2 linked regions of the Saccharomyces cerevisiae S288C genome follow. The protein of the gene in region 2 purifies or fractionates together with the protein of the main gene of each other region. This does not show direct contact. Each region holds a gene or a part of one and is shown on either strand. Other genes may lie near its edges.

Region 1 (5,660 bases), on a different chromosome or scaffold from region 2:
CGACGAGAATTTCCCGAGGTTGATTTTGTAGGTGAATGACTGCTTTGCAAAGTACGTACGTAGCTAAAATCAATACTCTGGTTTTTATTGTGACCATGGCCAAACGAGTAGTTTATCGGATCTGTTGTACTACCCTCATATGGCGACATTGTATCAGAGATATTTGATAATGACAATTTCTTTCCAAATCTCATTCTCAACGACTTGGTTGGAGATGAATGCGGTGAGGTGTTGGACATCATATTAGAAGAAGAACCCTGTAATAGCTGATTTATTTGAGAATTGTTTCTTGAATGACCCGTAAAAAAGTTGCTTAGGGTGCTGTGTGAATGTTGGTGCTTGACACTTCCTGATCCACTGATCATGGAAATTATCGATTTGGTTGGTGAATGCCTTGTACTAAATCTACTCATATCCTTTGGGCCATTGTCAATAGTAGTTGAGGATAGGTTGTTTTGGTTCAAACTGCTTTCAATCAGCTGACTTGCATCCTCTTCTTGAATGCTGGGATCATGTAAATACTCATCTAGTTCGCTAATAGTATCTGAAGTTTTAAACTCCTGTTGGTTAAATTGGTCTGATGTAGCAATTTGTAATCCTGCACTTTTAAAGGGAAAGCTGAAGTTGTTTTGGGCATGCAGTTCAACTTCCAATTCGGTGGATGTACTTGGATCCATATCACTTTCAGAGGTGAATCTGAAAGGGGGTAGTAATTTGCTTTTATCCCGGTTTGTGGTTACTTTTTGAAGTATTTTCTCCTGATCCTTTTCCCACATCTCTAAAGTGACACGGGCTGGCAAATCCACGTGTTTGGTATATTGTTGTTCGAAATCGTCTTCTATATCAGATGATATCCTTGGGACTTGTGGAATGTCTTGTAGTTCATTAGTCATTAAGATATCACCTACATAGAAATCATCGTCAACTTCCACCTGGGGTATCAATGGTGTTGCTTGGTATGAGTCCTCATTTTGAGTGCTTTGCTGTGGGGATATCATTTTATCTGTTACTCTCAAACATGCAGGAAGTAAGGCACTATTAATTCTCCCAATAGCTTCTCTTTCTAACTCCAAGTTTGGAGAATCAATAGTATGCGAATCATGGGGAGTTTTGTATTTCAAAGTATTATTTCCTTCGTTAATTATTATTGAAACTCTTCCTTCACTTGGTGTTCTCGCAGTGGAAGTCGAATTCCCGTTTTTTTCGTTTAATGCTAAGAAATTCAGGAAACTTTTCGAGATGTCAGATATGGTTGATAGTCTGGATACATACTGGCTACTTCGGTGGTTGCTTTTCTTTTCTGTCGGAACCTTAGTAGCTTGTTGTGTATTTCTTTTGTATCGATTTTCTTTAGGACCCAAAAAGAAACTGTTATATTTTTTCAATTTAGAAAAATGCGAATGAGATGGCTTTTTAGGACACTTGCTGGTGCTAATCGGTCCTAATTTGTGTCGAATAACTGAAGAGTTTGAATTTTCATCGGATGATATGGTTTTGTTTGCGTTTGTGTTTGAATTTGTGGAGAGTTCATTAATCAGCCACGCTACCCCATTCATACTCTTGGGACTACCGTGTAATAATTCCAAATCTGGTGTTAAGGTCTGTGAAGAGTTCTTAAGGGGTACAAATCTACCATTTTCCACCGCATTTGCTTCTTTGTCATATTGATCCGTACTAATATTGTTAGATGAGCTGCCGAAATTGTTCGCATTGCCATCCTTCAGGAAGAATCCTAATTGTATGCCATTAATGAAAAGTGTGAAAATTAACAAAGAATCCAGAGTTGTTATATAGACTCTGTGAGACTCGCTTTGTACCGATATTGGGCTCCTCAAGGTATTATGAAAATAGTCCACTGTGCAGCCCATGGTGATCAGTGGCAATGCAAAATTAAGAACGTTGTAAAAGTATCCAATATGAAACTTGCTAGGCGCAAAAACAGTCTCTGTGATAAACGATATCAGTGACGGTATTCCATATAACAATGTCGAGCATACAATAACTATCAGTACCGCTTCGTGGTCGTGGAACTTGCATAGCAATGCGATAGCAATGGCACCTGTGGCAATTGAGAGAAGAGCACTTCCGAACTTGATCCCCAAAAAACCAGCCTTATTTCCGCTCCTAACAGAATTATGGCACATAAGAGAGTATGATTCCTTTCTTAGTATATATATACTGCTCAAGGGCAAATGCAATTACTTTGGAAATGCTTTCTTGTTCTGATACGTAAGAAGACAAGTAATCTCTGGACTAAAAGTGGAGCCGGAATAGAGACTCTCTTAGTATCAGTATCCACCTCTTCAAAGGATAATGCGTTCTTTGCCAATAGTCACATATTGTGGGTATGTGCGTTTTGCAAAGGCAGCAATATATTGTTTACTTATTTCCCAAAAAGGAAAAATCTTTAAACCATCCTAGAACTTCAATTCACCACGTTCAGGGTAATATATTTTAACCGCCGACGTTCTCGCCATAACTTTTAAACAGTGATAACTAGTATTGAAACTTAGAAGAGAAAAGGGTAAAGTTAATGCTTAATCTTGTCTTGGCTTAAAAAGTAATATGTACTTATTTACGTCTTCACAAAATCTAGCAGAAAAACGGTAGTATTTATGTATATTCAAAAAAAAATCATTATCCTCATCAAGATTGCTTTATTTAAGCCTTGGCAACATATTCGATCAAGTCAACAACTCTGGCGGAGTAACCGTATTCGTTATCGTACCAGGAAATCAACTTGACGAACTTTGGAGACAATTGGATACCAGCGGAGGCATCGAAGATGGAAGCGTGAGTGTCACCCAAGAAATCAGAGGAGACAACGGCATCTTCGGTGTAACCCAAAACACCCTTCATTGGACCTTCAGCGGCAGCCTTAACAGCCTTCTTGATTTGGTCGTAAGTAGCTTCCTTTTCCAACTTGACAGTCAAGTCAACAACGGAAACATCGACGGTTGGGACTCTGAAAGCCATACCGGTCAACTTACCTTGCAATTCTGGCAAGACCTTACCGACAGCCTTAGCAGCACCGGTAGAGGATGGGATAATGTTACCGGAAGCGGTTCTACCACCTCTCCAGTCCTTGTGGGATGGACCATCAACAGTCTTTTGAGTGGCGGTCATGGAGTGAACAGTGGTCATCAAACCTTCTTCAATACCGAAAGCATCGTTGATAACCTTGGCCAATGGAGCCAAACAGTTGGTGGTACAAGAAGCGTTGGAGACAATCTTCTTGTCTGGAGTGTATTTAGTGTGGTTAACACCAACAACAAACATTGGAGCAGAAGAAGATGGAGCAGTGATGACAACCTTCTTGGCACCAGCGTCAATGTGCTTTTGAGCGGTGTCCAATTCCTTGAAAACACCAGTGGAGTCAACAGCGACATCGATCTTTAGAGAACCCCATGGCAAGTTAGCTGGGTCTCTTTCTTGGTAGGTAGCGATCTTGACACCATCAATGATGATGTGCTTGTCGTCATGGGAAACAGTACCCTTGTATCTACCATGAGTAGAATCGTACTTGACCATGTAAGCAGCATAATCGTTAGAGATAAATGGATCGTTGACAGCAACAACCTCAATGTCTTTTCTTTGCAAAGCCAATCTCAAGACCAATCTACCGATTCTACCGAAACCGTTAATAGCAATTCTGATCATTTTGTTTTGTGTGTAAATTTAGTGAAGTACTGTTTTTTGTGTGTGTTGGTGAAATATCAAACCAAGTTCTTGATGAATTTCTTATTTATGCAAGAGAGAGAATAGAACTGTACTACAAATCTCATTGTGTGAAAATATATTGTCTATTTATATGATTTCGAGACTCCAGTTTTGGTCATTATCACCAAGCTCTTACTGCTACAGAGAATGAACATGCTCCTCCCCCCCTTCTTCAGACTATGTTGTTCTGCACGTGGATACCGTCGCATGCACCTAAGAAGCAGATGGTGGCTTGCCTTACTGTATTGTAAAGATCCAGTCTCCAGATCTGCGACCACTCCGAAGGTTGAAACCCGAGCTTCCTGTTTGCTGTCTCGCGCCTTTTAAAAAAAAAGCGCGATTATGGGCCGCTCGTGACAGTAAAGGAAGCAAGCAGATCGACCCCCTGAAAATGTGGTGTGGTTACTAAGCAGAAGCGTCTTCGTCGCATATCCTATTCCTAGCGCAACAAGGCCCCACGGTGTGGTTTCATGTGACGTGGAGTCATGTAGGCTTGTGGTGCGCACATTTTTACTAAGCTCAACAACCCTACTGGCGCTGCTGGAAGTGAATGGCGAGTAGATACTATCAAGTGTTGGCTGGTGGGACATATCAGCAACTAATGGATAGAATAAATTGGATCAGAAGCTCAGCCCAACTTATCCTCCATATGGTGATATAGAGTGTAAATGAGCATATACATTCGTTTCTTTTTCTCCTCCCATTAGTCTGGCCCTTTAGCATACAAGTCAACTGTAGTTTTCAGAAGCGGGCTTTTCTTGGTTTTTGTTATGTTACCTGTGAGAAACTAATCCATCGAGAAATTTACTCATTTTTTTTTTTACTCCAAGCTGCTTTTACTTAGCTAAACATAAAAAAAGATATTTCTTATGCATTAACTTGAAGAAAAATTGTTCCCTTGGACAACGCTGTGCTTTTCCGAAGCACTGTAAAAGGGAAGAAAACCATATGCTATTCCTCCTTTCGTAGAGAAAAAAAGTTTTAGCACTTGAGCTTCTTACTATATCGTATTTTACCTCTTGCTTGTTTAGTTCGTTATAACTTACGCAAAAGTCTTCTACTGAAATCTAGATATTGTTATGTATAACACTATAATGCCAAACGAAAAGTTAAATATCGAGATGTTGAAAGAACAGAGAACCACATCTTCACCTTATTTAAGGTCGAGCTTTTCTACCGGGTCCTGTACAATGTTATTTCTGATTGTTTAAAATATCTTCTGCCATCTTCATCGATAATAACCAAGCTCAAATAATTCTTGACGTTAAAGTAGTTGCAGCTCATATTGGGCGTCAGGTCATAGCCGCTCAAGAATAATCTTATGGGTATGGTTTCACCTTTCACTGAAGACCCATCCATTATTTCGTATCGGATAGCAGTGGAATCTGTCATTACATTAGAAGTTTGTAGGCCGGAAGATTCTCTTGTGATCAAGCTTAATTCCATATGTTTTATCCTTAGTCTCGTTAAAAGGAAATATATACGCCCCACAATGACTTCTTTTAAGCTGTACTGGGATTTGGCATATTCAAACTCAATGTGAAGGCAATTTTCTATACCTATATCCAATCTAACAGGCTTGGGCTCATTATTTGAATGTGATATCGGCAAAACTTGATTAACGTCTGCCGCCTCACCCTGGGTGCTCTTTGTTTGCGTGTTGTCACTCGCATTATCTGCAGCATAGTTACCACCAGCGATGTCATTAGTGGTTGCCTTTGTCTCATTTGCGGAAAGGGTATTTGGCGCAGTAGTTACACTATTATAAAGATAGACCCAAAATCTTTTTATTTTCGAGATGTCTGTGGACTTCCTCATAACTGTTACCTTAACATAGTAAGCTACATCCACATTTTTGCCTTTATAAGATTCGTATCTTTTACTCAAATCTCTGAATAGGAATGGGAAACTTTGAGAATGTTGTAATTCACCAGCAGGAC
Region 2 (17,514 bases):
TGTTGGCGCAATCGGTAGCGCGTATGACTCTTAATCATAAGGTTAGGGGTTCGAGCCCCCTACAGGGCTTTCTTTTTTCTTGGAAAAAGAAAGAAACTACATTACATGTGCCGCAAGCGCAAGTAACAATGTTTATAGCTTATCTAACGGGGAATGTATTTTAAATTCAAACAACTTGAGTTATTGAAATTATGAGTGAACCTTTCCGTCATACTCATTGCATTGCGCTCAAAATCTGCGAACGTATCGCACCAGCTATCTGAGTATAAAATAATAATACGCTTCATAATATATACTTTTTGGAACAAGTGGCCATTAATAGTGATATAGGATTGCTGTGTAAATGCTAATATCACATATAGATGTACATCTCGTATTACATGTGAATGTGCCTAATGTGGAAGGAAATTTCATACATGCAGTTCAGGTAGTAATGAAACCGATTTAAGATCTATTAATTGAACATTGATATGGTAGTTATACAAGAGTTATATTAATTATCACATTAACTGTATAGTAAGCTCCAAACACACATAATATTGATAATAAATAAGATGAAACAGTTGGCGATGTTTTATATCCCTCGCTTATAGAAGCATGAGAAGATTCATACTTAACCTTCATATTAATAGTACCTCTTCATCTCTAACTATGAATATTATTAAAGTAACTGGGAATGTGAAATTCTGTGATCACAATTTTCCTCTAAAAATGTTTTAATTTCAAAACCACACAAAAAATCCACCTAAATGGTGGGCTTGGTTATTGTCATTATATGGTATCTAGAAGACCTTGTCGTTATGGAGATATTGACGAAAATGGGGATACTGTTGGGATTCTATTTTTGATAACGGAAAAGTGTTGAATATACAGAGAACCCAGGAAGTTTTCCTCCAGGTTATAATATCCTTAAAAGATAACCGGTATTTCCACTTTATGTTATTATTATTTCTTCTCCTCATTTTGTACTTTATCATTAATCATCCTAAAACGTTTTCAATCATTGCGCTTCAGCTTTTATTAAATATAATAAATATTTCACAACTCTATGACATCTTTTTATATTGTATATGATAATGTACAAGTAATATTCATACTACCCAACAAAAAGATAATTGATTTTCTTTCCAATAACTATGTATCCTCTTTGTATAAAATGTTTCTGTAATAAAGAAATTTGCGGTGTAGAACCGACTTTTCTAAATGCATATCTTTATTTTCTCAGAACCTTAATTAGTAAAACTCTAGTGAACAACAAATACTCAAATACTTAAAAGATGATTAAAAATGTGGGCAAAAAAGCTACCGGTAATTGACGACGTCAGTTCCATTATTATTAATGGACAGTTCAAAAAATTTAATAGCGCCGCTCGGTTTCGATCCGAGGACATCAGGGTTATGAGCCCTGCGCGCTTCCACTGCGCCACGGCGCTCAACATTACAATCTCTGATGCTTTCACGTAGATATATGAATAGTTTTATTCTACTATTTTATCCTACTATGATATATATCTAGGGCTTGATGTCTTCACAACAATAAAATTGAATATTGGGTGATATTTTGATAATTTTTGGCATTCCATTGTTGATAAAGGCAGTAATATTATGTATACAGAATATACTAGAAGTTCTTCTCAAGGATATAGGAATTCTCAAAATGGAATCGGTATTTCTACATAATAATATTTTATTATTCTTTTTCATTTTATACGTTTCATTATCCTATTACATTATCAATATTTGCATTTCAGCTTCCATAACAGTTGATGACTGTTTCTCAATCTTTACGTCATCTTTTTACACCGCATGTGATAATATACTAGTAACACGAATACTACTAAAAGATGACATTTTAGAGCTTCAATCCAACAACTTCTCAGTGATGTGGCTTTCGACATTTCATATTTTTTTGTTCGAGTCCTTTTCAATAAGTGATAGTTGATGCTTATTCCAAATATTCAATATAAGCATTTATATCCTTACTACCATATCAACATGTAAATATTGATAGCCACTTATTCCAACAGAATCGGATAAGCGCTATTTTTTTTTATTAAAGCCTTCCCCTCTCTCATCGCCAAGAATTCTATTGTTTCTCCTAGACCCTGCTTTCGCGGCGCGGTATTCCTGTGCCAGCGGTAAGGGTTCAGTCATTGTATTATGTAGAAGTATCGAATGTGACACAAACATACGCCACTAATATGAGAATGCAGGCGCGATAGCTTTGTAATGTTTTTCAGTTGTATCACAGTAAACTAGAGCGGATCCCTAAATAAGTATCATCAAGCTCGATACACAAAACTTTGAAATGAACTTCTTCGACTTTTAGACGCTTGTTCAAACTTTTATCAATGATGTTGTCAATTAAATAGACTTATATTGCTGTTTCATTGTTATCGCTTTGTTAAGAGGTTGCTAGGTAAATAACCAGACATTTACTATTGCTAGTATGCGATATAATAATTATGACAACTCTGGAAGTTCCTTCTTAACTAGAGTAGTTAAAAAGTCAGATATGGAGAAAACGTTATTATTAAATAGAGAAATTGATGACTGGAAGTCAAACGATAAAAAGAAGGCATATAAGGAACGCGGAAGAGTTTATGCAAGTTGCTCATTTATTGAAGTATCCTTTTCTCAAATAAGGGCTGTTGATGTTGAAAAAAAAATTGAGAATGCCGAACAACTAAGAGATCTTACAAGAAATATTGTTAAGAACAAAACCAGCTCTTTGAACGAAATTACACCCTCAAAGAATCGTGTAACTAGTGCATGCAATTCCGAGAGACGTACGACTAGCCAAGAAGCAAACAATCTTGAAGGCTACCATAGTTGTGCACAAGGAACTAGTCGGTCTGCCAGTATTACGAAGAAATACAGCAAAAAGACTACTAGTCGTCCTAAAAGAGAAAAGAGACAAACAATCCTCCCAAATGGTGAGATAAAGGAATGCTCTAAATGTAAAGACACTTGGACAATTCAATGGCGTAGTGGACCCGACCAAAACAGGGAACTTTGTAGTCCCTGTGGACTCGCCTATGGAAAAAGACTGAAGAAGGAGAATGAAAAAAAAAGGCAAGCAGCAGATAAAAGGATAGATCGAAACAATCCATAGTATCTATTTAATTCTTTCACCGCATAGATGATATTTTTCCACTAGGATATTCCACCTTTTTTTTTTCTAATATTGGCACTTCAGTTATAATGTATTTTCTTCGTCTTTGTTCTTATATTGTACTATTATTCATAATATTTATTACGTTTTATATGGAGTTTCTTTTTGATTAATGGCTTCCTGCTAGTATTACTATATGACTATAGCAACAAACTTTGCAGTTAGTTTTGTTGAGATTGTATGCTCAATAAGTTTAAGTGAACTTCTACAAGTTGTACCTCATTTCTCGGTTTTGAAATTAAGTATTCTTGGTTCAGGTTTGCAGTTCTTTTTAATGTTGTTTTTTACAATCAAAGTATGCTCATCGGTATATACAGAAGTGCCAGTTTGGGATTTTTGAGTCCCTGAATATGCGCTTCATGCTTTTTTATTATGTAAAGTTAGTTCGGGTAAGAAGTAGTAACCAAAAAAATCGCAACAATAGATTCTCATTCGCTTTTTGACTTGGTAACTTATAATTTCTCCACAGTATTTGCACCCTTTTAATGTCCGATTTCTCGAGGAATAAGTAACCAGGAATACAGAAGGTATCCACCGCCAGTTATGCTGATCATCAATGGGAAGATCATCCCTATAGCTCATACTATTTGTGCATTCTCCGCCTTCTTTGCAGCTTTGGTCACTGGTTATTCATTACATTTTCATAAAATTGTAACCAATGCACATTATACGTATCCAGATGAGTGGTTTCCTAGTGTATCAGCCACTATCGGGGACCGCTATCCGGAACGTTCTATTTTCCAAATCTTAATAGCTCTAACTGCTTTTCCAAGATTTTTACTGCTACTAGGTCACTACTACTTGAACCAATCTAAGGTATGCTTCCTTGTCGGTGTACTCCGGACAGTCTCTTGCGGTGGTTGGGTATACATTACAAGTACAGATGACCACGATATTCATGATATATTTATGATCACATACATTGTTTTAACGTTACCATGGGATATAATGATTACCCGCTATTCTAGTCCTTTAACTTCGAAGAACAAAGGGTTGACTGCTACAATTTTTTTTGGAACATTGTTCCCGATGATTTACTGGTACATTCAGCACTCCGTCCAACAGAGAGCTGGGGCATATTCTATATATGCTTATTTCGAATGGTCTCTGATTCTTTTAGATATTGCATTTGATGCATTTGCTTACGCTGATTTCAAAAAGATAGATATTGTTCTCGCTTTTAATGAGAAACCCGGTAATACCAGTTTTTTCCAAATTAGAGACTCTAGTCCCATAAATTATGGAGAAGAAAAAAGTTCAGAATTGCAGAAAAGTGGTGAAAAGAAGGTTGAAAAGGAAAAACCCGTTGCTAGAAGCGCAACTGGTTCATATTTCAGGTTTGACTCTTTTTTTTACTTACTAACAAATATTTTTAACGGTTTTCTTTTCTGGTCGAACGTTACGTCCCTGTTATGTAGTATTTGGCATTTCCCGCTATGGTATATGGGAATCTCAGGTTATGAAGCTGCAATATTGGGTTATTTGGGACCCATTTTCTTATATCTGCCGTTCGTTTCTGAAGCCTTCACGCAATATGGTGTACTTTTAGGAGGTATTATTGCCATTGGTGCCTATATTGTTCAGATGCCAGAATTAAGGTTGATTTCTGTAGCTGTGGGAACTTCCATTACCGTTGCAACGTTTGTACAAAATCTAAGATATATCACAAATGCGGAGACTAGTTTCTCTTTTGCTCTAACTTGGCTGTTAGGTCTTGTTGCATCTGTGATCTTGAAAATGGGGTTCTATACCAACAATCCAACTTGGGTCATTTTAGATGAACGTAATGGTGGGTATAATAAGACAGCTCTCGTGCTTACTGTTTTATTCGGCATGCTGTCGCCTTATGTTAATTCAATTAATTTCGAAGGGAAAAGGAATGCTCAAGCAAAATCTGCTTCGTTGATTGGCAAATTATTTTTGGCTGTTGGTTTTGGCTCGTTGTTATTCGGAATTCATCAGTTATTGACGGATTCTTCTACTACTATTTATTGGGCATGGGAAGGTTACAATGAATCACACGGTCCCTTGCCATGGCCTTGGGGCGCCTTAACTTGTACGGTCATGTTATTTGCTTCTTTGAGTTCTGTGAAGTTTATGGGCAAGCCATTAGTTCCATGTTTGTTGCTTCTCATATCCACTGCTGTACTTTCAGCTAGAAGCATTACACAATGGCCTAAATATATTTTCGGTGGTTTATTGTACGCTATCGCTATGCTTTGGTTAGTTCCTTCGTATTTTTCTGCATTAGGCCAAGTTCAAAACATATGGGTTTATGTCCTATCATTCTCCGTTTATATTATCTTTGTCCTTGCCCATGTTTGGGTCGTTGCATACGCATTTGTTCCAATGGGCTGGGTACTGAGGGAGAAGATTGAGACGGTTCTTGCCTTTTCTTCCACATTTATCATTATTGGTGCTTTAACATGCAAAAACCTTAACATTCAACTGGTGACTATGGGCAAAAAATTCTTCATTTATGTTTTCTTCTTTGCCGTGGCCCTGCTATCACTAACAGCTAGGTTCGTGTATGATATTAGACCTACAGGAATTCCTCAGCCTTATCATCCAGATTCTCAGTTGATTACAGCTGGTATTTGGACTATCCACTTTGGTCTCGATAATGATATGTGGGCATCTGAAGACAGAATGATCAACCTTATTAAAGATATGGAACTAGATGTGGTAGGTCTACTAGAAACAGATACACAAAGAATTACCATGGGGAACAGGGATCTAACTAGCAAACTAGCTCATGATTTGAATATGTATGCAGATTTCGGACCAGGTCCAAATAAACATACCTGGGGCTGTGTTCTTCTTTCTAAATTCCCTATCGTAAATTCTACGCATCATTTATTGCCCTCTCCAGTTGGGGAACTTGCGCCAGCCATTCATGCCACACTTCAAACGTACAATGACACTCTCGTTGACGTCTTTGTATTCCATAGTGGACAAGAAGAGGATGAAGAGGATAGAAGACTGCAAAGTAACTACATGGCTAAGCTCATGGGCAATACGACTCGCCCAGCTATTTTATTAAGTTACTTAGTTGTTGATCCAGGTGAAGGCAACTACAATACGTACGTTAGTGAAACATCCGGAATGCACGACATTGATCCTTCTGACGATGATAGATGGTGTGAGTATATCTTGTATAGGGGCTTGAGAAGAACAGGATATGCTAGAGTTGCAAGAGGAACGATAACCGATACGGAGCTACAAGTTGGTAAGTTCCAAGTTTTGAGTGAGCAAGCGTTAGTAGAGCACTCGGATTCTATGTATGAATACGGTCATATGAGTGAACCGGAATATGAGGACATGAAATTTCCAGATAAGTTTTTAGGCGAAGGTGAGAGGGGTCACTTCTACCATGTTTTTGATGAGCCACGTTATTACTTATAAGAGGCCGTAAGGTGGTTTTATAAATCAGTGTAATCACATTGTGTGTACTGAAAATCTTGATAACTTAAGGTAAGTTATGTATCCACCTGATTTTTTTGACCTCGAATTTTAAAAATTTATGTGATTTCTTTATGTATGTTACTTAGACGATCTTGTTATAGTTTTGTAAGAAATTATACTTCCTGAAACGATTTATCCCGCTACTTTTTGAGCGTATTTCACAGTAAAATATATACTACAACTGAACAACGTTGTTGAACTCTATGTTAAACATCAACGAAGAAATTCTTAAGTTCTATCTGCTCCGAGTCATCATTCTTCCAAATTTCTAGTAATTTCAGACTTCTTTGAACAAGCTCTTTATTCGGCATTTGTACTTCCTCTTGCTCGTCTTGTACCTCTTTTTGCTTCCCTTGTTCGGCATTACCGTCTTTTTCACCTTCTTCTTTTTCTTCACCATTAATTGGTTCGCTAGCCTTATCCTCTGCAATTAACGCTTTTATTTTTGTTTCTTGATCTTCCACATAGTCGTTCCATTGCTTCAGTTTTCCTTTGCATTTTGATATTAGTTCTTCTTTTGATTTACCTTGTAAGTCCCTGAAATATAAAAGCAAAAGATCATTATATACTGAGGGGATTTCGTCCAAGTTGAAAAAATGCTTAATAAGCCAATTTTGCTTTTGCTTGGAAAATTTCCAAACTTCAACAACACCAGACTCTGATGGCTCGTCTTTGATCAGGGAGTCGCCGTAATTTTCTTTTACACTTTCCAATTCTAGGATTCCGGTGGGAAACTTGCTCTCAGACTTTGTCCTGAAAAATTCTATCAGGTAACGTAATTGATCTTTAAGAATTTTATTTTTTTTCGAATTCTTTTCATCCTTTGACAATTTTTCCTTCTTCTTCGTCCCTGGTTTCGACACACGCTTCCCTTTTTTGGTAGAGGATTTGCTCTCACCATTAATGATTCTTTTTTTCTCTTTCTTTGTCAAATTACCAGTGGATAAATGCGTAGTGATATTTAGTGGATCATCATCTATTAGATTGGATTGGCCTTTTTCTTTACTTTCGTCACCACTGCTTATAGTCTGTCTCTTCAAAGCAATTCTTTTCCAGGCAGGAACGTGATTTTCGGACATTTAATTGTGAAGTGAATGTTTCTTCTGCTTGTAATTTGTCGATAAAGAAAGCACTTATGACAGTACTTTGATATTTGAATTTAGCTCATCTCTTTTCGTTCCTTTTTCTCGCTCGAAAATTTTCAATAATTTGCAGTAAAAAGGCGATGCCAGTAAAAAACTACCTGCAAAGGGAGCGTTAGACATATCTTTTATTGGCGACAAATATTTTTAGCGATATATATCCGTAAAGATCTGGCGATATTCTTTATCACTCGATGATAATAAATTCTTTTACACTTTGCTATTTTCCATGAGAACGGTTGGTATTCCTGTTCCCAATAACAAAAGCGTTTGCATATTTTTATGGTGAAGGTACTATCAACTGTAAAGTATGTACAATAGATTTATTAAAGGGAAACACTTTTCGTAGTAAGAAAAGCAGGTTTATAATTCAATTGTTTTAAAGCTGAATAATGCCGTGGTGTTAAACTACGACCGAGCTATAGCAACAGCATCGGCCACACACTCTCTCTTATTCTTATGTTAATAGTCGACCTTTCAAGGATGTTCTTGTTGGAATAGAAATCCACTATCGTCTATCAACTAATAGTTATATTATCAATATATTATCATATACGGTGTTAAGATGATGACATAAGTTATGAGAAGCTGTCATCGAAGTTAGAGGAAGCTGAAGTGCAAGGATTGATAATGTAATAGGATAATGAAACATATAAAATAGAAGAAGGGATAATCGTAATATTAGTATGTAGAAATATGGATTCCATTTTGAGGATTCCTCTATCCTTGAAGAGAACTCCTAGTATATTCCGTATACATAATATTGTTGCTTTTCTCGAATCATGTATCAAGATTACTAGCGCAAGTGGTTTAGTGGTAAAATCCAACGTTGCCATCGTTGGGCCCCCGGTTCGATTCCGGGCTTGCGCATCTTTTTTACTTTATATACTATTTTTTTTTTTTTTCTTTTTCCCAAATTTTTTCATGAAAAATTTGGCGGAACGGTACATAAGAATAGAAGAGATTCGTTATGAAAATTTTCTACTCTCTTTCACATTTTTTTTTTCATAAGAATTAAAAAAATAAGCTTAATGCCCTCTTTGTACGATGGTGTCACTCTAAAATTATTTACGTAATTTAATTGGATGTGATATCAAGCACTAGTTTTGTTTGGAGGAGCAGAGATTGAAAGCCTAGCTTTTACACCGGTTTGAGTCGGTTCCTTCGTTTTCTTAGTTGGAATTGATATAGAAGTGTGTGGACAATCGATTTGCAAAACTTTTTATTTTATGTATTACTACTGAGCTTGTTTATCTGTATACTTTTTTCTTATTATTATGTAGTTAGAGGTTAGTTCTTATCGTTTTCTTTAAAAGCGACCTTTCTTCGCACAAAGCAATGTTGACAATCGAGCCAATGCATTTAACAATTGCAGTAACCAGAAGCGAACAGTGGAGGATATGAAAACCATTATTATTTCAGATTTTGATGAAACAATCACAAGAGTTGACACAATCTGCACCATTGCTAAATTACCGTATCTACTGAACCCGCGGTTGAAACCTGAGTGGGGTCATTTTACCAAGACATATATGGACGGATACCATAAATACAAATACAATGGAACGAGATCACTGCCGTTGTTATCTTCAGGCGTACCTACGATAATTTCGCAGTCTAACTTCAATAAGTTGTTTGCGGACGAATTAAAATATCAAAATCATAACAGGGTTGTTGAGTTAAATAGTGTAAATGAAATTACAAAACAACAGATTTTTAAGTCGATTTCTTTGGATCAAATGAAAACGTTCGCCAGAGATCAGAATCACGAAGATTGTTTACTAAGAGATGGTTTCAAAACGTTTTGCTCTTCAGTTGTCAAAAATTTTGAAAGTGATTTTTACGTTTTATCTATAAATTGGTCAAAAGAGTTTATTCATGAAGTCATTGGTGACAGAAGACTTAAAAATAGTCATATTTTTTGTAACGATCTAAAAAAAGTTAGTGACAAGTGTTCTCAAAGCTACAATGGTGAATTTGATTGTCGGTTATTGACAGGCTCTGATAAGGTCAAGATACTGGGTGAAATATTAGATAAGATCGACTCAGGTTGCAATAAAGAAGGAAATTCTTGCAGCTATTGGTATATAGGGGATAGTGAGACTGACTTGTTGTCCATATTACATCCATCTACTAATGGTGTACTGCTAATAAACCCGCAAGAAAATCCTTCCAAATTCATAAAAATTACCGAAAAGATTATTGGTATCCCAAAGGATAAAATCTCGAGTTTTGAAGCTGATAATGGTCCAGCGTGGTTACAGTTTTGTGAAAAGGAAGGCGGTAAAGGTGCCTACCTTGTGAAATCCTGGGACTCTTTAAAAGATTTGATCATGCAGGTAACAAAAATGTAGAAACGGATGAAATCCTGTATATTCAAATTTATATAACCAGGACGTTGCAGTGCTAATAATAATGGAATACCGCTAATTTTCCTCCTGTTTTTTCTTTTTTAAGTAAAGATAAAATAGTATTTCACTTGCACTATTCTTCTATCTCCGTAATCGGTCTCGGTCTAAAATTACTTTGAGATGTTCAAATACATGGGGCTAATAATTTTAAGGGCTTGCAAAGAACTTATATGTCACAGTGATAATAAGTAAAGGATAAACATGCGACCTGTTAGACAAATCGCACATGTCTCTAAAGGGTAAATTTTTCGCCTTTTTACCTAATCCTAACACATCTTCCAATAAGTTCTTTAAGAGTATATTGGAGAAAAAGGGCGCCACAATTGTGTCAAGTATTCAAAATTGTCTTCAATCTAGCCGTAAGGAAGTGGTCATTTTGATTGAGGACTCCTTTGTTGATTCTGATATGCATTTGACTCAGAAAGATATTTTCCAAAGGGAAGCAGGCTTAAATGATGTCGATGAATTTCTTGGTAAGATTGAACAGTCAGGCATTCAATGTGTGAAAACCAGTTGCATCACAAAGTGGGTCCAGAATGATAAATTTGCGTTTCAAAAAGATGATTTGATTAAATTTCAACCATCCATTATCGTTATATCAGATAACGCTGATGACGGACAAAGTTCTACTGATAAAGAGAGTGAGATTTCAACTGACGTAGAAAGTGAAAGGAATGATGACAGCAACAATAAAGATATGATACAAGCTTCAAAACCTCTTAAGCGACTCTTACAGGGGGATAAAGGAAGAGCTTCCCTTGTTACTGACAAAACGAAGTACAAAAACAATGAATTGATTATCGGAGCGTTGAAAAGGTTAACAAAAAAATATGAGATCGAAGGTGAGAAATTTCGTGCAAGAAGTTATAGACTGGCTAAACAGTCGATGGAAAATTGCGATTTCAATGTTCGTTCCGGTGAAGAAGCACATACTAAATTAAGGAATATCGGGCCTAGTATTGCCAAAAAAATACAAGTTATATTAGATACGGGAGTTTTACCAGGTTTAAATGATTCAGTGGGATTAGAAGACAAGTTGAAATACTTCAAAAATTGTTACGGCATTGGGTCGGAAATTGCTAAACGCTGGAATCTTCTAAATTTTGAAAGCTTTTGTGTTGCAGCTAAGAAGGACCCAGAGGAGTTTGTATCAGATTGGACAATTTTATTTGGTTGGTCATATTACGACGATTGGTTATGCAAGATGTCTCGGAATGAATGTTTCACACATTTAAAGAAGGTTCAAAAAGCGCTGCGTGGCATTGATCCTGAATGCCAAGTCGAATTACAGGGAAGTTATAATAGGGGCTATTCCAAGTGTGGTGACATTGATCTTTTATTTTTCAAGCCGTTTTGTAATGACACGACCGAGTTGGCAAAAATCATGGAAACGCTTTGTATTAAGTTGTACAAGGATGGCTATATCCATTGTTTTTTACAGCTAACGCCAAACTTGGAAAAGCTATTCTTAAAAAGAATAGTGGAGAGATTTCGTACAGCGAAGATTGTTGGGTATGGAGAAAGAAAGAGGTGGTATTCTTCTGAGATAATCAAGAAATTTTTCATGGGAGTCAAATTGTCTCCAAGAGAATTAGAAGAACTGAAAGAAATGAAAAATGATGAAGGCACATTGTTAATTGAAGAAGAAGAAGAAGAAGAAACAAAATTAAAACCGATTGACCAATATATGTCTCTGAATGCCAAGGATGGAAATTATTGCAGAAGATTAGACTTTTTTTGTTGCAAGTGGGATGAGCTTGGAGCAGGAAGAATACACTATACTGGATCTAAAGAGTACAATAGATGGATAAGAATATTGGCAGCGCAAAAAGGCTTCAAGCTTACACAACACGGTTTATTTCGAAATAATATCCTTCTCGAAAGCTTTAACGAACGCAGAATTTTCGAGTTATTAAACTTAAAATACGCTGAACCCGAACATAGAAATATCGAATGGGAAAAAAAAACTGCATAAAGGCATTAAAAGAGGAGCGAATTTTTTTTTAATAAAAATCTTAATAATCATTAAAAGATAAATAATAGTCTATATATACGTATATAAATAAAAAATATTCAAAAAATAAAATAAACTATTATTTTAGCGTAAAGGATGGGGAAAGAGAAAAGAAAAAAATTGATCTATCGATTTCAATTCAATTCAATTTATTTCTTTTCGGATAAGAAAGCAACACCTGGCAATTCCTTACCTTCCAATAATTCCAAAGAAGCACCACCACCAGTAGAGACATGGGAGATCTTGTCAGTGACACCGTACTTCTTAGCGACAGTGGCAGTGTCACCACCACCAATGATGACGGTGTTACCAGCAGCAGAGCTCTTGACAACTTCGTCTAACAAAGCCTTAGTACCAGCAGCGAACTTTTCGAATTCGAAAACACCTGGTGGACCGTTCCAGACAATGGTCTTAGCCTTTGCAACAGTAGCAGCAAACAACTTTCTAGATTCTGGACCATTGTCCAACCCTTGCCAGCCAGCTGGAATACCTTCCTTGTCAGTGACAGTCTTGGTGTTGGCATCAGCAGAGAAAGCATCAGCAATGATGAAGTCGACTGGCAAGACGACTTCGACACCCTTGGCCTTGGCCTTTTCCATCAACTTTGGAACGATTTCAGCACCAGCCTTGTCGAAGATGGAGTCACCGATTTCAGTGTTTTCCAAAACCTTCTTGAAGGTGAAAGCCATACCACCACCAATGATGATAGAGTCGACCTTGTCCAACAAGTTGTCAATCAATTGAATCTTGTCAGCAACCTTGGCACCACCTAAGATGGCCAAGAATGGTCTGGTTGGGTTCTCCAAAGCCTTACCGAAGTACTTCAATTCCTTTTCCAACAAGAAACCGGCAGCACGTTGTGGCAAGTCGAAACCGACCATAGAAGAGTGAGCTCTGTGAGCGGTACCGAAGGCATCGTTGATGTAAACATCAGCCAAAGAGCTCAATTCGTGTCTGAACTTTTGAACATCTTCCTTGGAAGCCTTGACCTTTTGACCATCGACCTTTCTGGAACCTTCTTCTTCGATGTGGTAACGCAAGTTTTCCAACAAAATAACGGAACCTGGGGCAGAAGCCTTGACAGCGGCTTCAACTTCTGGACCGACACAGTCGTTCAAGAAGGTGACATCCTTACCCAACAATGATTGCAATTCCTTAGCAACTGGAGCCAAAGAGTATTTTTCGTTTCTTTCACCGTTTGGTCTACCCAAGTGAGAAGCCAAGACAACGTATCTTGGGTGGTGTTCCAAAACGTACTTGATGGTTGGCAAAGCAGCAACAATTCTTTGGTTAGAAGTGATCTTCTTACCGTCCAATGGGACGTTGAAGTCAACTCTGATGAAGACACGCTTGTCCTTCAAGTCCAAATCTTGGACAGACAACTTTGAAGATAAAGACATTGTTTTATATTTGTTGTAAAAAGTAGATAATTACTTCCTTGATGATCTGTAAAAAAGAGAAAAAGAAAGCATCTAAGAACTTGAAAAACTACGAATTAGAAAAGACCAAATATGTATTTCTTGCATTGACCAATTTATGCAAGTTTATATATATGTAAATGTAAGTTTCACGAGGTTCTACTAAACTAAACCACCCCCTTGGTTAGAAGAAAAGAGTGTGTGAGAACAGGCTGTTGTTGTCACACGATTCGGACAATTCTGTTTGAAAGAGAGAGAGTAACAGTACGATCGAACGAACTTTGCTCTGGAGATCACAGTGGGCATCATAGCATGTGGTACTAAACCCTTTCCCGCCATTCCAGAACCTTCGATTGCTTGTTACAAAACCTGTGAGCCGTCGCTAGGACCTTGTTGTGTGACGAAATTGGAAGCTGCAATCAATAGGAAGACAGGAAGTCGAGCGTGTCTGGGTTTTTTCAGTTTTGTTCTTTTTGCAAACAAATCACGAGCGACGGTAATTTCTTTCTCGATAAGAGGCCACGTGCTTTATGAGGGTAACATCAATTCAAGAAGGAGGGAAACACTTCCTTTTTCTGGCCCTGATAATAGTATGAGGGTGAAGCCAAAATAAAGGATTCGCGCCCAAATCGGCATCTTTAAATGCAGGTATGCGATAGTTCCTCACTCTTTCCTTACTCACGAGTAATTCTTGCAAATGCCTATTATGCAGATGTTATAATATCTGTGCGTCTTGAGTTGAAGTCAGGAATCTAAAATAAAAATTAAGGTTAATAAAAAGAGGAAAGAAAAAAAAATTAATCGATTTACAGAAACTTGCACACTAAAAATACACAACTAAAAGCAATTACAGTATGGGAAGTCATCGACGTTATCTCTACTATAGTATATTATCATTTCTATTATTATCCTGCTCAGTGGTACTTGCAAAACAAGATAAGACCCCATTCTTTGAAGGTACTTCTTCGAAAAATTCGCGTCTAACTGCACAAGATAAGGGCAATGATACATGCCCGCCATGTTTTAATTGTATGCTACCTATTTTTGAATGCAAACAGTTTTCTGAATGCAATTCGTACACTGGTAGATGTGAGTGTATAGAAGGGTTTGCAGGTGATGATTGCTCTCTGCCCCTCTGTGGCGGTCTATCACCGGATGAAAGCGGTAATAAGGATCGTCCCATAAGAGCACAAAATGACACCTGTCATTGTGATAACGGATGGGGAGGGATCAATTGTGACGTTTGTCAAGAAGATTTTGTCTGTGATGCGTTCATGCCTGATCCTAGTATTAAGGGGACATGTTATAAGAATGGTATGATTGTAGATAAAGTATTTTCAGGTTGTAATGTGACCAATGAGAAAATTCTACAGATTTTGAACGGCAAAATACCACAAATTACATTTGCCTGTGATAAACCTAATCAAGAATGTAATTTTCAGTTTTGGATAGATCAGTTAGAAAGCTTCTATTGTGGCTTAAGTGATTGTGCCTTTGAATACGACTTGGAACAGAATACCTCCCATTATAAGTGTAATGACGTTCAATGCAAATGCGTTCCCGACACTGTGTTGTGTGGTGCTAAGGGGTCTATAGATATCTCGGATTTCCTGACAGAGACAATAAAAGGGCCAGGAGATTTCAGCTGTGATTTAGAAACAAGGCAATGTAAATTCAGTGAGCCTTCTATGAATGATTTGATATTGACCGTGTTTGGTGACCCTTATATTACTTTGAAGTGTGAATCCGGTGAATGTGTTCATTATAGTGAGATTCCAGGTTACAAATCTCCTTCAAAAGATCCAACAGTGTCATGGCAAGGGAAATTGGTGTTGGCATTGACTGCTGTGATGGTCCTGGCACTTTTTACATTTGCTACCTTTTACATTTCTAAATCTCCGTTATTCAGAAATGGATTGGGTTCCTCAAAGTCTCCCATTCGTTTGCCAGATGAAGATGCGGTGAATAATTTCTTACAAAATGAAGATGACACACTGGCGACATTAAGTTTTGAAAATATCACTTATAGTGTCCCCTCGATAAATTCAGATGGTGTTGAAGAAACTGTGCTGAATGAAATAAGTGGTATCGTGAAGCCCGGCCAAATATTAGCTATCATGGGTGGATCTGGTGCGGGTAAAACTACTTTATTAGATATCCTAGCAATGAAACGGAAAACAGGTCACGTTTCGGGTTCCATAAAAGTTAACGGTATTAGTATGGACCGTAAATCTTTCTCGAAAATAATCGGGTTCGTCGATCAAGATGACTTTTTGCTGCCCACTTTGACTGTTTTTGAAACCGTATTAAATAGTGCGCTGTTAAGATTGCCAAAAGCATTGTCATTCGAGGCCAAGAAGGCAAGAGTTTATAAGGTGTTGGAAGAACTAAGAATTATTGATATCAAAGATCGTATTATTGGTAATGAATTTGATCGTGGTATTAGTGGAGGTGAAAAACGCCGAGTTTCCATTGCATGTGAATTAGTGACATCTCCATTGGTTTTATTTTTGGATGAACCTACATCTGGTTTAGATGCTAGTAATGCCAATAATGTTATTGAATGTTTGGTAAGGTTATCCAGCGACTATAACAGGACATTGGTGCTATCTATTCATCAGCCAAGATCAAATATATTTTATTTATTCGATAAATTGGTCCTGTTAAGTAAAGGTGAGATGGTCTATTCCGGAAATGCCAAAAAAGTGTCAGAATTTTTGAGAAATGAGGGATATATCTGTCCGGACAACTATAATATTGCTGATTATTTGATTGATATTACTTTTGAAGCCGGTCCTCAGGGGAAAAGGAGAAGAATCAGAAACATTTCCGATTTAGAAGCTGGTACGGATACTAACGATATTGATAATACGATACACCAAACAACATTTACTAGCAGTGATGGTACAACACAGAGAGAGTGGGCTCATCTTGCAGCTCATAGAGATGAGATCAGATCTTTACTCAGAGATGAAGAAGATGTAGAGGGAACAGATGGAAGGCGAGGTGCTACTGAGATTGACTTAAATACCAAACTACTACACGATAAATATAAAGATAGCGTCTATTATGCAGAGCTTTCACAGGAGATCGAGGAAGTTTTAAGCGAAGGTGATGAGGAAAGTAACGTTTTGAATGGAGATTTACCCACAGGTCAACAATCTGCTGGTTTTCTGCAACAGTTATCGATATTGAATTCAAGAAGTTTTAAAAACATGTACAGAAACCCTAAACTATTATTGGGTAATTATTTACTGACGATCCTATTGAGTTTATTCTTGGGAACACTATATTACAACGTCTCCAATGATATCAGCGGTTTTCAGAACAGAATGGGGCTGTTCTTCTTTATACTAACGTACTTCGGTTTTGTTACATTCACAGGTCTCAGCTCGTTCGCTCTGGAAAGGATCATTTTCATAAAAGAAAGATCCAATAACTATTACTCGCCACTTGCATACTACATTAGTAAGATAATGAGCGAAGTGGTCCCGCTACGTGTTGTACCACCTATACTCTTGTCATTGATTGTTTACCCAATGACTGGTTTAAACATGAAAGACAATGCTTTTTTTAAATGTATTGGAATCCTTATACTGTTTAACCTTGGGATATCGTTGGAAATCCTAACCATCGGCATAATTTTTGAAGACTTGAATAACTCCATAATATTAAGCGTGCTGGTGCTTTTGGGCTCACTACTGTTTAGCGGACTATTTATCAATACTAAGAATATTACAAACGTGGCCTTCAAGTACCTGAAAAACTTCTCTGTGTTTTACTACGCCTACGAATCTTTATTGATCAATGAGGTCAAAACATTGATGCTGAAAGAGAGAAAGTACGGCTTAAATATTGAAGTTCCAGGCGCTACTATCTTGAGCACATT

What was found.
Region 1: the proteins of PGK1 (region 2) and TDH1 purify together in Saccharomyces cerevisiae (affinity purification with mass spectrometry; 2 studies listed by BioGRID, with this or other methods). This does not show direct contact.

The regions. Positions count from the first base shown.
Region 1 is NC_001142.9:336,271-341,930, reverse strand, and holds TDH1 (glyceraldehyde-3-phosphate dehydrogenase (phosphorylating) TDH1), read right to left. Parts: upstream 3,661-5,660; coding exon 2,662-3,660; downstream 1-2,661. Other genes in the region: IRC8 (Irc8p), read right to left, coding at 1-2,144; YJL052C-A (uncharacterized protein), read left to right, coding at 3,928-4,047; retromer subunit PEP8, read right to left, coding at 4,894-5,660. UniProt on the Saccharomyces cerevisiae protein: Glyceraldehyde-3-phosphate dehydrogenase (GAPDH) involved in glycolysis and gluconeogenesis. Catalyzes the reaction of glyceraldehyde-3-phosphate to 1,3 bis-phosphoglycerate.
Region 2 is NC_001135.5:133,839-151,352, reverse strand, and holds PGK1 (phosphoglycerate kinase), read right to left. Parts: upstream 13,608-17,514; coding exon 12,357-13,607; downstream 1-12,356. Other genes in the region: SRD1 (Srd1p), read left to right, coding at 2,450-3,115; CWH43 (Cwh43p), read left to right, coding at 3,719-6,580; RNA-binding ribosome assembly factor RBP95, read right to left, coding at 6,847-7,719; CTO1 (Cto1p), read left to right, coding at 9,183-10,136; POL4 (DNA-directed DNA polymerase IV), read left to right, coding at 10,420-12,168; putative ATP-dependent permease ADP1, read left to right, coding at 14,480-17,514. UniProt on the Saccharomyces cerevisiae protein: Catalyzes one of the two ATP producing reactions in the glycolytic pathway via the reversible conversion of 1,3-diphosphoglycerate to 3-phosphoglycerate.